Linked DNA regions of Styela clava. The main gene of each other region encodes a partner of the protein of the gene in region 2 in a complex. Links are inferred from orthologs where the notes say so. Each region holds a gene or a part of one and is shown on either strand. Other genes may lie near its edges.

Region 1 (7,739 bases), on a different chromosome or scaffold from region 2:
GAGGTAGGCAGTGCCACAATGAAAAGATATGATAGGATTTACATATTTATCCCGGGGGAGAGGAAAGGCGATAAGAAGTCATATATTAATCATATGGTGAGCTACTGCCTCTCGTCCGGTTACTGGTCCAGGTCGAACCTGCGATCCCACGAAGGGCCAGAGATGCGCCACACCGCCGAGCCCTCCCCGAAATAGTGGCTTTTTAGATATTCGTAGCTGCTTGTACAGGGCCTTGTTCAAAGCAAAATGTAGAAACAAGCACGGTATAAAAAACCCTATCATAACACAGGAATAATCAAATTGTAAATTATTATGCCCTTGTACTGAGATTACTGCCAACAGTCACGCTCCCATGATGCCTCTTTGCTATATGAATTTGTATGGGACCTAGTCTGACCATACCTACCCCAGATATTAGTTCATATTTTCGTCATAAAACTATATTGGGTTCAGAGACATATCTTTGTGCGAAGACTTATATTCTATTATCTATGATGATTACCATATTATAACTGCATAGCCCTTATTTTAGTCTTTACTATTTCATAACAATTTATTTTTGAAAACTGGTGTTAAAAATGTTTTTGCTTTAAATAATAACTGAATAGTATTTAGTAGTAATAATACTCATTCAGATTGGCAGTGTTTTGTATAAAGTGGAGTAAAACCATGGCAATTCTTGACCTTCTTTGAGGCACAAATACCAGAATATTATGTTTTTTCCAAGCTTCATACAGTCATAGCTAATATAAATTTTTATATGTAGACTTTATAGGTTTTATTTCTTGTTTATCCAATATAGCTGTTTGTTAGCCATGTGAATTTTTGTTCATACAGATAACTGGATAACAAAATTTATTCTATATAGACTAGGCAAGACAAGTTTTTATGGTTTCAAGGATTGAAGGGTGCAACAGTTGTGCCGATATACGGACTTATAACTTTGCTGCGTCACTGGTGACAAGGTTTTTAATTATTTTTTTCTCAAAATTCGTTTGAATTAAGGGAGCAGTATTATCTTACTACCCTCAGAAAAATTGTTCCAGTTATCATACTAACGATTACACATCTCTTTATAACGCTAGCTGTATGATAGAGTAGACTACAGCACAAAGGATCACCAAATCATTAATGTTTAAACGAACCATGGCTTTCAGGCGTATAACTTTCAGACTTTGCTATATTGAAAAAGGACGTACCAGGTACACAAAAACATACTCATGTGGCCAAGTGAACGACTCTGCAAGTCACGGGTTTTCAAACACGCAATTCTCTGCACAAATCGTCCAAGCAATATAAGCAAAAACATCCAGTAAAAATCAATCCGCCATAAGAAAATCCGTCGCAGAAAAGTTGAGGCAAGCAAGAAGCAACCACTAAGCAGCAGAGATGAGCGGAGTCAGAATTTTCAGACTCCGACTCCGTCCTGATCCGAAATCAAAATTCGAACTCGGAGTCCGACTCCGAACAAAGAAAACTATGACTCCTGTTTCGCTCCTGTTGACAAATCTAATATTGACCAAATTTAGTGTTCACTACAGCAGCAACATCAAAAACTGGCTGCGCTGATGTATTTTATGATGTTTTTCCATCCTGACATCTGAAACATTTGAGAATATCTGAAAATATTCATTATTATGTTTCCCAAACTCACATTTAAACATTGCTAAAACTAAAACCACTGACTATGGGGGGGGACTATGGGGGATCAACTGGGGGGACTGACTATAGATAGATAGATAGTTAGATAGATAGTTTATTTCGAAAACTCCATAACAAACCTGAATTTAAAATGGAGAATTCTGGAGGGCAAGCAAAACCTACAAAAAAGTTTAAAACATGAAGTATCTCATGTGCCTGCCCACCAGCACGCACACAAAAACACAAGCCCAATTAAATGAGGCTTGGGCCAAACTTAAAAAACAAAATACACGATAGTAATAAACTTTCGGGCTGTTGTACTCTCTTTCAACAATTACGTTGACAATGACCAATACCTACAACCTCATGCAAAGATAATGTGGGGAGTGGAATGTAATAAATTTGCGACGATAGTCATACTCATGAAGCCATGAAAGCTTTAAGAGAAACCAAGCCATGAAAAACTACACTGATTGCTAAATTGGGCATTGCGGAAAAGGTGATAAGTGTTTAATATACAAACAAACGCAAAACCATGGCGGCAAATTCGGTGTGCGGACACTCATAAAAGCAATTATTAGGATTATAGTGTTCACTACAGCAGCATCTAAACATTGCAAAGTCACACTAGCGCACACTCATTACTATGTTCAATGACATAACAAAATTCAGGGATCGTATAAAAAATTAGTTATAGTCATAGAATAATATTTTGCTTGAGGCTTGCTCACCCCATTAATTCAGTGTTCACTACAATCACATTTAAATATTGCAAAGTCTGCATAGAACTGATGCTTCATAGCCACAATTACATTCAAGTATTCAACATTATTCTTCGCCAAGAGCATGTTCCATCTGTTGATTATACAGTGAGTGTTCTACATAACAGTGAACAGTATAGGATGCATTTCCTTGGTAATGCACACCAAATTCACGACACATACCGGTACAGGCATGTCTGCATGTGAGTTCCGGTACCGGTATTCGCTACAACCCGACAACCGCATCCAAACACAGAACACCAGAACTCTGTTTAAAATTATAAAACACCCAGTTCAGGCTTGTACCGATACAGAAGTGGTAAACACAGATTCATAAATGGTACCGTAAAAGCGCCTAACTTCGGACAAAATTACTATACTTTCGTCAATAACTCGGCCATTTATTGTCCAAACGGTGCCAAAATTGCTCGGTAAAACATTCGTGCGGTAATTTACATTCCCTGCAAATTTCGGTTCAATTGGACTATTTTTACTATTGAAATAATCGATATTTCTTGCCATCTGACCGTTATCCTTCACTGCCCTAACTTCGGACAGTCATTTTCTTCACTGCGTAACCGCGACGCACAGAGAGAAAGAGGCTTCCGATGCGGATGACGTAATCACGTCGTTGCGTGAAGATAAGACGCTCGATCGTCGTCGTAACGTAACATTGACGTCACGACGAAAATGCATTATTTGAAACTTCCGTCGTCCTATGTTTACATCTTTCGTTCGTTATTTTCGATACTTCCGATGAGTATAATAACACGTTAGTCATTTTAATCAGGAAATGCATACGTAAATATATCTGATGCGGCCCGTTTCAATCCACAATTAAGTATTTTAACGGGCTTCTATGGAAGTCTTTGAAGTATTAAATATTCTCGACAGATAGCTTTTTTTATTCTGCGCGGTTATCTTTATAAATGATAATTTATATCAAACACAAGGTAAATCCGATTGTAAAGTTTAATTTAAAATTCAACTTAATCTTGTGAACATGTAGGTCCCGTTTATTTGTTGGAGATTTAATTTCGAGTGAATAAAATTCACCCAGGCCGTATTCAATGACTGTCATTTCGACTACTAATCATAAAATAATGGCTAAGTCAGTGCACTGTGCCATATGGACGTTGGAATTATCATAGTTTTATATATTCGATTTTTAACGTCATCGATTAAGTGTGACATTTATTTTCATTAATGTAATTTTGGCATATATTCATACATGACCGAACAAAATACAAAAATATTACGTTGGAACGCCGTCTTTATCTTAACGGAAATTGTCATATTGGCTCCGTTGTGTCTGGCGTCAAAATTCATTTCCGCGACGCAGTGTGACGTCGTTTCGGAAGTGAGCGAAAAATAATCTACGTGAGGTTGACGTAATTTTTGACGCTGCGTGAAATCTTAATATTCTTACGGAATTTATAATTTAGAATTTTAGGTTTTATTTAAATCTCGTACGACATCTTGCGATCACTCAAATAAATTATATACATTGTTGTCGCCCTCTACCGAATGATGGTATTTTGACGACGATAGCTTCAGTAGGAGCGACGCTCTGCGCCGTTGAATGCCGGGCAGTCAATTTTAGGCAAAATTTACGTTTTTTTACCAAAAAAATAATTATGCAACATTAAAAAAGATGAGAATAGATGTAGATATAACAGCGCAACCTATAATACAGTAATAATTGAAATTAGCAATATACGGCGCGTTTTAGCCAAGATATGGCCGTTCAAAAATTTTGTCCGAAGTTAGGGACTGTCCGAAGTTAGGCGCTTTTACGGTACCGGTAGCATCCTGAAGAAGCACGAATATGTATTAATATTTATGTACGGTACGGTACCGGTACAGATAATTCAAGTCCGTTCAAATTATGCCTGCACCGGTACGTACAGACGTACGGTACTTCTATCGGTCACGGTATATTATAGATTTAGTTGGGACTCCTGATTGACTCCGGGCAACCAAGAATGTTCCCACTCCTGATCCGATCCTGTTTGTTGAAAACCGTGCCGGAGTCCTGTTTTTCGGAGTCCTGAATCCTGTTTGTGCTCAACACTACTAAGCAGTCAAATCATCAAAAACTATTGGCGGGCAAATTCGTCATGCGTAACGGGGAAAGTTCTCATTTAGAAAAACTTTGTGCTTTCAGGTGTCCGGATTTCAGACGTTGCGGTAGTTATGCTTTTGCTGTGTCGCCTGTGCTTCGGTCATTCTGTCCTAGTAGACTGCTATACCTGTATCTTTTCATAGCAAATACGTTACTGTGATATTTATGTAATTGCAGCCAAGCGTGTCCAAGCTAAAGAAAGGCTTACTATATTTGAATATATCAGTTTGCTGGTTTGTGATACACACTACAGCACTACGGTACACGTCCAGACAACTAGACGTCGTTTGACAAAGATGGTGCCCGGTACGGTACAATACATTTCGTAATCATAGGACCTACGGGTATTGCATACGGTAACCTAACTTGCTTTTTTTCTGTTCCCTTCTTTCTGCTTCTGAATCCATGATACGTTCAGACTGTCAGGTGTTGCTTTACACTCTTCAGCACTTACTAACTTGAGCAAAACAAAAAAGTTGGACTTTAGATTTACTTTTTGCTGCATTAAGGGCTTTACTACTGTACTACAATTTTCTATAATTGTACATCACAGTAAAAGACTATATACAGATATATTGTCCTTTTATGTATACAATCTGACAATTCATGGAAAAGTAAGGAAAGAATGTATTTTGAAATTCTGATATGTGAAAAATGCCTAGTGACGGGTGTTAAATAAAATTCTTTCCCTAATGCTGTAATGAGTCTTATGAGTGTAATTCAGCAATTTCTGCAACCTTTACTAATCACAGCTGAGTGATGGTTCTTTTTCACTGTATTTTTTTATCATGGTATATTTCTGTTTAATCAAGTTGCAATCATTGTTTCCTCATAAGATAATTAGAGGAACCTAAACGTAAATATGGTGTTATCAGAAGATCTTCAGAAAAAGTATGGCTTCTTGCTACAGCCAATAAAGGATATTACTAAGAATTGGGAAATAGATTTAACACATGTTTTGGAAGAATATATGGAAGAATTAGAAAAAATGACTTTTGAATTTGACAATGGAAAAACTGTGCTTAATTTTGCGGAAGCATCCTTGCTCATTCAAGGTACAGCCTGTGTATGGAGTAAAAAAGTTGAATACTTATATGTTCTTGTAAAACAGACGCTAGAAATGATCACAAACAGACAGAAAGAGGTTCCCGATGAAAATCCCAACAATTCTTCTAGTGATAAAACTATTGATCCCAATTTTGACGATGATGAAGAAAAATTGCTAAATCTGAATGATGTTGCAATAACTTCGAAAAGAGAATTCACTTCGAATTATGACCCAATTACACCTATTCCTATAACCCCTACAGCAATGCTTGAAAATGATAATGATGAAAGAGGAAGATTGATATTGTCTGAAAACAAGAATGACTCCGTTTGTTACACAAATGATTTTTGGGAGAATCGATTTATCCCATTTGAAAAAAGAATGAGTGTTCTTGATAGAGATTCAGGTGGGTTTTTGGATGAAATTATTGTTCCATCATTAGAAGAATTAGAAATTGCTCCGATGAACATTTTTTCTCGGTCTGAAGAACCTGTGGAGACAAATTCTGTCCGAGAAGAAATGGATAATTTTGGTGGAATGGACGAGTCCATGGATGCAGGAGCTGCTGCTGATGACATGGATGATGCTCCTCCATTCGTTGAAAATTTAGAACAAGAAAAAACTGTTATAGAAAGAATGCAGTTAAGAGAAAGGTTTCTTGCCAAGCCTGTACCCATACATGAAACCCCAGTTTTTCCCACCATCCTTGATCCACATGAGCATTGTAGAATACCTTGCTTTGCGGTCAAAAAATATGAAAAAATCAGGTCCCATTGTATTCCAGCTTCTATTCGCCAATCTAAAACCACTAGAAAAAGAAAGATTAACAGCCCGACTGTGGATAAAGTTGAAGAAATATCACTTTTCATAATGAACAAAGGTTACAAGAAAAGGAGAGACATTAAGTATCATGACAAATGTCTTGAGAAATTCATAGCTGCAGAAACTAAAGAAAGAGCTTTACTTTGGAAAAATATAAAACTATTAGCTATGACAAGTGATGTTGACCATTCACTTGGAATGCCTGGAAAAGATGTAGGCCCTGATGCGGTGTTTGGCGAAGAAGAACAACTTGAACCAATGAATCATGACTCGACAATACATTCGGATCATTTTTCACCTGACCTAGATGACCTTATTGGTGATGTGGTAGATAATCAAGGCAAGGGGAATCATACTGCACATGAAACTGTAAGCAGTCCCACTTCTTATGAAGACCTCGTTCGCCACCATGTTGAAATGTTCTATTCTGCTGCTAGGCGTTTCAAAGAAGAAACTGCGTTGTCACAAAGAGTAAAGTTATGGGATGAATCTATTACTCCACGTCTTGCAGAACAAAATTCAAGACCGGAATTTGACATCCATAAGTATGGAGGAATGATGCTGAAAAAATTTGAAAAGCCACAAGATACTAAATTATTTGAAGATGCTATTGAATCGCCAAATTCATGGTACATTTGTAGACTATTTGCAGCTACATTGCAGCTTGTTAATGACAACAATTTTCTTATAAGTAAAGATTCTGATTTCCAAAAGTCTGTTAACACAATGAAATTAACGCTGTTGAGTCATCATAGACTCTGTGAACGTTTTGATGATTATTCTTCGAAATCCTAAATTTTGATGAAAAACGTCTAGTCGTCTTATATTTTCGGTTTTAAAAAGTTTTATTAGGTAAATCACGCCCTAAAAAGTTTATTGTTTATGATCATTGCTATTCTGTTTTTTCTTTATTTCAGCCTCACAAATTAGGCATTTTTGTTGATATTGGGAGTTATCTCAACTTTTGTGTTATTTCCAAGGGGTGGTTATCATTTTCACATTCACATATTTATTTTACTTCTTTTTTTTCACTTTTTATGGGCCATATCGAATCCAAGCCTCTTTTGATAGTCTCTTTGTATTTTTGCATTCAAACACATGTTGGGAAACATTGACACAAATTTGATTTGGTGCTTTGATTTAAGAAATTTTGTTAGTTAGTAAATTGTTGTAAAATAATATGCATCTGTTATATAGAATTTCTTTCTTCGATAAGGACGATAACCCACTAACACTTTCTCATTAAAAGCATTTCTCAAATAGATGGTCATTAGTCATTATCAATAGCTGACTCCGCCATAGTATAAAATCAATATAATAGAGAGAGAGAGAGAGTTTATTT
Region 2 (8,078 bases):
TTGCAGGTGTTTCAGATTCTAAATCTTTTCCTCTTGCATCCACGACCTCCTGTAGCGCTGTTGGAGAAACAATCCCCTCCTCCATCATTTCAACAAGAACATGCAAAGCTCTCGATCGCACAGATGGAGACACATCTAACAATCTTCCAACAACTATCTTTAGCAAATAGCTGTGCTTTGTGGAAACAAGAGTGTCTGGATCGAGAGAATCATTCTCATCATTCAGACGCTCGGGCATACAAAGCAATTTCCCCACAGTTGCCAGTGTATTACTTCGATATACAATTTTTGAATGTACTGCCATTCTTCTGAGCCAATCACAGAAGTCAGCATACCAATTTGTAGGCATGTGCTGCAAAATACATGATACGATGGTTGCAAGATGATTGCGAAATTCTGTACGATCAGGACACTGAGCAATCAAGTTTTGTGTCAGTACAGATATACTATGGGAAACGGAATCTCCATGAACATCAAACAAATGACAAACAAGTTTTCGGAATATTTCCGAGTTTTGAAAGAAGGATCGTGAAACAGTAGACGATGGAATGTTAGCATCTCTCATTATAATTATGGGCAAAATGAATCGAAATAAGGTCAAACACAACTGATGAACATCACCATGTTTTACTGAAATTGTCAAAAACAAGGCATAAACAGCTTGTTGATATGGGAGTCTAAAACTGTCCGCAGTAGAACCATCACTACGAAAACTTTTGTAATCTATAATGCTTATTGGAGCATTCGTTTTCAAACAATTTGCAATTTTCACCAAGACTTGCATAGCATGTTTCAACGACACCTCATTAGACCTCAATGAAACAGATGCTAAATATTTACAGAAATCAGTCAATGTTAAATTAAGGAGCCTGTAAAGATTTGCCATTTGCGATGGAGTTATAACAACATTGCCATGATCTTCTTCTTCTTGTGTATTCTTATCATTGCTCGCCTTTCGCCGCTTCTGTGATTGACTTAGGGGTACATTTGCTTTTCTTTTGCGTCCTACTTCTTCAGACATTGTGGCATCAACTTGTGTCACCATCTGTAGAGAATTCACAGCTTTTTCAAAAAGTATAGCATGATGTAATTGTGATGAACTCATACCAGGCAACTGAAGTAGCAAAAAGTAAAAGTCCGCTGCAAGTAAACATAATAGTGTCTGCTCAAAGCTAGCAGACATTTTCAGACCAACGTGGAAAAGATAATATATCCAAGACTGAATGACTTTACTTGTAATTCCAATTTTAAGAAGTTCATTCAACAAAGAGCACCTTGTTTGACCAGACAAGTTCGCAAGTAGCTTAGATCCATTTCGAAGTGCTAAATTCAAGTCTTCCAGGTTATTGATAGCTGAAGAAGGTATGTCAATGTCAATTTCTGGGTCATCTGTAAATTCTGATGAATGCATTCGATCAACCCATTCCTCATCTAGATTTGTCAGTTCCAACGATTGAAATATATCCAAGATCAAGTTCTCATTCATTGTGATTGTGACTGAATGACTGCTTTATTTGTCAGATTCAGTAAAAAATCAATTGCGTTCTGTGAAAAGGCAGGGGGAGATTACAACAACATTATTGAAAAAATCCCTTTATCAATACATTGAAAAATAATGTTCACAGATGAATGATAGTGACATAAATAAAGCAAGCATTAATTGTGGGCATTAAAGCAACCATTAGCATTAATTCCTAAGTCTTATTAAATAATTCTTATTGAAATATGAAAGATAGGCCCATAGAATAGCAAATGAAAACTTGTAGACAGCCTAAAGCAAGCAAGCAAAACTGTATGAAAACAGAATGTATTCTGTACGACGAAGACATGAGATACAGAATATATACATGAAGATATGGTACAGTAGTACATTATTGTAGGAATAATTTAATAATAGGGGTCTAGCACAGTAAACGCCACAACTGTTTATATCAGTAAATAACACAATGACTCCTAACAAAAATGTGATGTAAGATATTTATTGTTACCGTAAGTAAAATGGAAAGATTACACATATCTAATACGAAATGAAATTCTTGACAGATGCGTTGAAGATTAGTTAAAACGAATCCTACTCAATTTTCAAATAAGCAGGTACCGGTATATCCCAAGTCAAATAGGGTCTGGCGTTCTCTGCAAGACAGATTTTTATTTGAATAAAGAAATAAAAATTTGGGATATTTTTCACATTGAAAAAACAATAAAAAAAAAGGGAGAAAATTGGGAAATGCAAAAAATATATCATAGACATTTAATTCCCTATTTGAAATAATGCATCGAATAAATTTTGTAATTTCTTTAAGGGTTCTTTAATTTAAATTCTTTAATTTCTTTTTGTAAGGGTTTGTTAACTCAAGAATTTTCTATATTGTTTCTACACATTATGGACATTTTTATCTGCTTTTTGTGGAGAGCAATACGGTTTGAAAAAAAAAAAGAATTTTTTCATCATCCAAATTTTATATCGCACTATTGATAACAAAAGAATAGTTGCATTCAAATCTACAGTGGTGGTATGACTGAATAAGGGTAAAATTACATAACATGCCGGAATCATAATTTATAACCAAATGTATTCTAATTAATTTTAATATAATTAAACAAACAAAATCATCATAGATTTTCTGTGCAAGTTCACAAGACTGCAAGACATAGAAATATGTGATACAAACTCTGATTCTTTATTACCGGTACATTAGGCCTAAAAATACATTTCATTTTCTACTATTCTTTTAATCTCTGTTTTTGTATTTAATAGCAACATACCCCAAAGTGATTTAAAAAGTGTTAACATAATTTGCGAAAATTTCATTAGGAATACATGGAATAGTCTACTAATGCAAATTGAGAAATTACTCTTATTTCAGTATTTGAATTACAGATAACTTAATTAGGCTACCTGCCTTTCCGATATTATCGCATTAAGATTTTTTATAATTTTGTCATACAGAACAGCAACAATTTCATATGCCTATGTTTGCCATTTTGACATCATACACATTCAAACTATCAATTATAGTCTAAGTACCGGTATACAATTAATTTACATTCAAAAGTTATTACAGCCAGTCGGGTCTTACTACTTACTGAATACAGCGCGAAACACCGCAAAGAGCGCGAAACAGAGGAAAACAGCGCGAAACAGATGGAAACCAGCGCAAAACAGAAGAGAAACAGCGCAAAACAGGAGACGCAGTCATTACCACCTTCTGCCACGAAAGAACCACGGCGCCTCTCGCCATGGTTTTATGGCGCTATTTCCGGTATATTTACAAGGTTATGTACCGGATTATAGGTCATCATGCGAAATTTTATCTACCTTTTTGGTGTGTGTGTGTGTGCAGCAATATGTCGCACAACCTGAATCCGCTACACACAAACAGATACTATTTTTAGGTTGTGCGCCATCTTGGTGCACATACTTCTGGAGGTCCCTTTTTACCTAGCCCTAACCCTAAAGCCAACCATATCCATATGTAAAATGTTCTAAATTATGGTACCCAAAATGTGTCACCAGCAGGGGCAGACCTGCCATTACAGCATTACTGGCTACATACGTTGGTTTGTGTTTTTAATTTGCTGCCGTGGTACTCCAACTCAAAACAAGGTGTCCCGAACTCATTGCAAAATTTTTTTCTGCTTTACACTGTTTCCCTCTGTTTTGCGCTCTTTCCCCACTGTTTTGCGCTGTTTCGTGCTCTTTGCGGTGTAAGTAAGAACATATGCGTGGCATCGTAGACTATATTAAATCCCATGTTAGATTGCGATCAGACTGCGGCTTCTAATCAATTTGTGTGGATTGTGGAAATGTTTGAAAGGCGTGCGACAGGTACCCAGTATAAGTTTATTTCAACTCCATATTCAGCATAACCAGATACCGGTAACAGGCGATAAAATGATTGATAAAAACAAATAAATAAAAAATGATTATGAAATTAAAAGAGCAAGCAAAACCTTACACAAGGTTTTTTTTTTTTTTTTTAATTGGTTCACTCATTGAGTGATTTCAATAAATATGTAAAAAATAAATAAACAAATAAAATAAATTATAGTCCACATTCCATTCATGATCCATTTGTTAAATTGAGTTTCACAGTATTTCCAGTTTGTTTCATCAGTAATAAGTATCCAACGATAATAATGTTATTTTAATAATTACAATGATATAATACAATAAAAAAGGAAAAACACAAAATTAGTAAATACAAAAAACTTATTATAAACCTGATTTAATATCTAAATTAATGCTTTACATAAATTTTGTAATTCTTTTTCAAAGAGTTTGTCTACTCTGGAATTTTCTATATTTTTTCTATACATTAGGGCCATTTTTATCTGTTTTTTAAGGAGAGCAATGTCAGGTGTTTTATTTTCAAATATTATAGAATTTCTCATTATCCAAATTTTATATCGCACTATTGATAATAAAAGAATAATTGCATTCAAATCTAATGCTGTTATATGACTAAATAAAGGATCATTAAAATTCAATAATATACAAGAATCATAATTTATAACAAAATTTATTCTAATTAATTTTAATATAATTAAGGAAACAAAATCATCATAAATTTTCTGAGTAAACTCACAAAACATAAAAATATGTGACACAAACTCAGGTTCTATATTACATAATAAACATAATTCATTTCCTGCTACTCTTTTGATCTCTGGTTTTGTTTTCAAGGGTAGAATATCCCATATTAACTTATAGTTGAAGGTCCTCGTATAATTTGCCAAAATTTTATTATGAATACTGTTACAAGTTATACTGAGATTTGAATTACGGATAATTAGGAGGATAGGATAGGATAGGATTTACATATTTATCCCGGGGGAGAGGAAAGCCGATAAGACGGCTTATCCATATGGCGAACCACGGCCTCTCGTCCGGTTACCATTCCAAGTCGGGTATGGGATTAGTTAGTTATACTGTATTGTTTGTTTTCGGAAGCATGGACTTGGTGGTGGAGGAAGCCGTAACCGACCAGCGGTTACGTGAACCACCCAACGACGGCGAGGAGTCCAGCAATCCTCTCGCACATAACCATCCCTGCATGGGAATCGAACCTGCGAACCCACGCAGAGTAATTAGAGGTGCGGTGGCGAGCGTATTCCTAACGCTGTAACGCTTAACCCGTTGAGCCACACCGCCGCGCCTACAAGTCTTTCCCCATTAATACTTTTTAAAACTTTATCAGTATTATTCTATTATTTATTTGTCTAACCACGATACCGGTACTATAATCGAATGTCCCATCCGATTAATATTACATGTTATTTCCCATTCTAAAGGGTAAACCGCGCAAATTCGCAAAACCCGCCAACGTACAAGTTGGTATCATGCGACAGCTTGCGGTGATGCGTCGTAAAATATGATATATTTCCATAATTTAGGCAAAAAATAAATACTAATATATAAATTTTCATTGATTAATCAAGGATATGATTTCTTATTATTTGACATGAGGTAGACCTATGGATTGTTTGTTGTTGGCTGTATTCTTTTTCTTGTTTTTATATTTGTTGTTCAACTACCAGACCAATTTCTTCGAAATTTCCAGTGGTTGGAGATCGTTGTTCGCTTAAGAAAAACATGTTATAATTTATGACGGACCACGTTGTTGTTCAACTACCACACCAATTTCTTTGAAATTTCCAGTGGTTGGAGATCGTTGTTCGCTTAAGAAAAACATGTTATAATTTATGACGGACCACTTTGTCGCCGGTTACAAGTGAAAACCGATTACAGGTTAGACAACGTCCCAGATACACAGACTTGCATGGAATCTCTTTCCTTCGCACACTCGGATGGTGGAACTGAAAATAGATGAACTATTTACTCTGAACAATGACATTAAACAACATGATGCGCAACTCCGGCATTTTTGTCCGAAGATCGTATTCGATAGCACGCTCCAATGCACATACTTGACGAGACGAAAACGAGCGGATGTGTGCTGCTTTCAAGGCGTAGCACGAATGGTAGCACTTGAGTAATTAAATTAAACGCAAAGTACATGAAGAAGGTGGCATTTTCGAAGAAAATGGGAGCTGTAACATTTCTGCTCTTCACAAAATTCTGAAGCACATTGTTAAATTTGTCATATTTCCATCAATACAATCAAAACACACAATAAGCTCAGCAGTCAATATGACAAATTCGAAGACCAACTTCGAACAGAAAATTTCCATGTGTTTGTATATTAATATAATTATACAACGACTTAGTTACTAAAAATCAATATCAATAATAATTCAAGCAATCCTATGCCACGCAATGTAGTGCAAAATGTCTTGTCGAAAAAATCTGTCATTTGTTTTTTTACTGATCTATACATGTGTAGCGTACCGGCAATGTATGAAATAATTATCCAGGTTCAGAATATCTTCTAATATGATCTGACGTCAAGTTTTCTCTCAATAGTCCAAGTCTTTGTGCTATTTTATGTCATTTATTAACAACTCGAACAGTAAACGATCCAAAACAACCAAACACTCCCCAAAGGAACGAAAAGCATAAAATAAAAATAACAGATACCAGGCAGTAAAATGCAAGAAAGACCACATACACAACAAAAACACTGACCAACCCTGAAATCCCAGACAACTCTGAATATAAAACCAAATGACCCCTAGAATCTGGTACAATGAACTAGCTACTGCAATTTGCAAAACAGGCCGAAAGTAACTTATGACAGGCATTTATAAAAACTATGAACAATTCTATAGGTGCACAACATTTGAACAATACTGATGAAAGCTAATTCCACGATAAAACTGAAAATACAACACTACGGTAAATGAACTGTAATGGCACTGTACTGGTAAAAACAATAACATGCAGACATGGTCCCTACGTCAGCCCACTGTCCAGCACAAAACATCCGACAGTCACACAACACAGACAAACATTCCTGAAGACCAGAGGCATTCGCACAGACATTCAAAACCCACCAATCTAACCGAAACACTCAGACGACTGCACTCTGTCACACACAGCATACACCAACAGACCACGCTGTCCAAGAGAACCGATCAACCGTGTCGCAGCGTCTAAACTGCTAGAATACCAAATATGGAAACGATATCACATGACGTCATTTAACAGATAAAACAAGGGTCCTAGAATACCAAATATGGAAGCATATTACATGAAGTCATTTAACAGGCAAAACAAGGGTCGTCACATTACCCCCCTCTTCTAGATGGAACATTATGAAAGAATGTTTTCATCTCTAAAAAAAATATTTGAAACACGAAAAGCAGTAGTCAAAACCAAATTATGTCCACAAATGTCTTTAAAATATGCAGGCCGTTTACCCTCACGCTTAAGCATCCGTAAAGTTTGTCATTCGGGATTGAGTCCACCAACGTCATCGAAACGACCAAATTGATGTTGCATATCTCCATTGGCTCAACAACGGCTACTATGTTAGATCTCCGGACGGCCAAGGCTGTTGCAGCTGAACTAGAACAACCAGTCCCGAGCGGCCGGTATAACCACAACTTCAACTATAGTCCCATGACAGCAGGGAGAAGCTGTTAACATCCTGTCCCTCAAGAACAAAACGATGCGACGAATTTGCCAAGATAGTCCATCCGTGACCCTAGATCGGCGACGGCAACGGTATGCTCCACAGGCCAGCTTTCAATCGTCAGGTTGACATCAAGTGCACCATGAGACACTAACGACTCGCCACTGGCAGTACGCAATGGTACTGGAAAAGAATACAGTTCTGAAATGTCCGAATTTCCTGCAACGTCGAGTAAACAGCGGTGTCTATGAGCGAGACACCCGAACCGAATTTCCCGCAACGTCAAGTAAACAGCGGTGTCTATGAGCGAGACACCCGCACGTGACCCTGGATCGGCGACCACAACTGTATGCTCCACAGACCAGCTTTCAATCGTCAGGTTGACATCAAGTACACCATGAGACACCAATGACTCGCAACCGGCAGTACGGAGTGGCACTGGAACAGGATGCAGCCCCGAAATGTTCGAATCTTCCTGCAACGACGAGTAAACAGCGGTGTCAATGAGCCAGACACCCGCACCGGTATCAATCAAAAACA

Evidence for each region.
Region 1: the proteins of condensin-2 complex subunit D3-L-like (region 2) and condensin-2 complex subunit H2-like are in contact, whole or in part, in a cryo-EM structure (PDB 9F5W), measured with the Homo sapiens proteins. The link is inferred for Styela clava from reciprocal best matches to the Homo sapiens genes NCAPD3 and NCAPH2. Residues at the interface, in NP_056076.1 of Homo sapiens: Arg589, Pro591, Met629, Glu680, Arg683, Tyr684, His690, Lys724, Glu793, Asp800, Gln803, Arg804, Arg807, Gln817, Leu820, Gln865, Leu866, Cys867, Pro868, Ala869, Arg870, Val871, Val918, Ile925, Lys929, Leu932, Gln933, His934, Ala956, Asn960; in NP_689512.2 of Homo sapiens: Trp22, Ser68, Lys69, Glu72, Tyr75, Tyr79, Leu82, Asp83, Ser86, Ile144, Ile145, Pro146, Leu147, Leu148, Met150, Ala151, Leu152, Val153, Asp156, Glu159, Asn161, Asn162, Asn163, Pro164, Leu165, Tyr166, Ser167, Arg168, Gly170, Leu173.

Annotation. Positions count from the first base shown.
Region 1 is NC_135251.1:18,726,760-18,734,498, reverse strand, and holds condensin-2 complex subunit H2-like, read left to right. Parts: upstream 1-4,750; 5' UTR 4,751-5,389; coding exon 5,390-7,192; 3' UTR 7,193-7,193; downstream 7,194-7,739. UniProt on the Homo sapiens protein: Regulatory subunit of the condensin-2 complex, a complex that seems to provide chromosomes with an additional level of organization and rigidity and in establishing mitotic chromosome architecture.
Region 2 is NC_135257.1:9,712,044-9,720,121, forward strand, and holds the start of condensin-2 complex subunit D3-L-like, read right to left. Parts: upstream 3,078-8,078; 5' UTR 1,989-3,077; intron 1,546-1,988; 5' UTR 1,487-1,545; coding exon 1-1,486.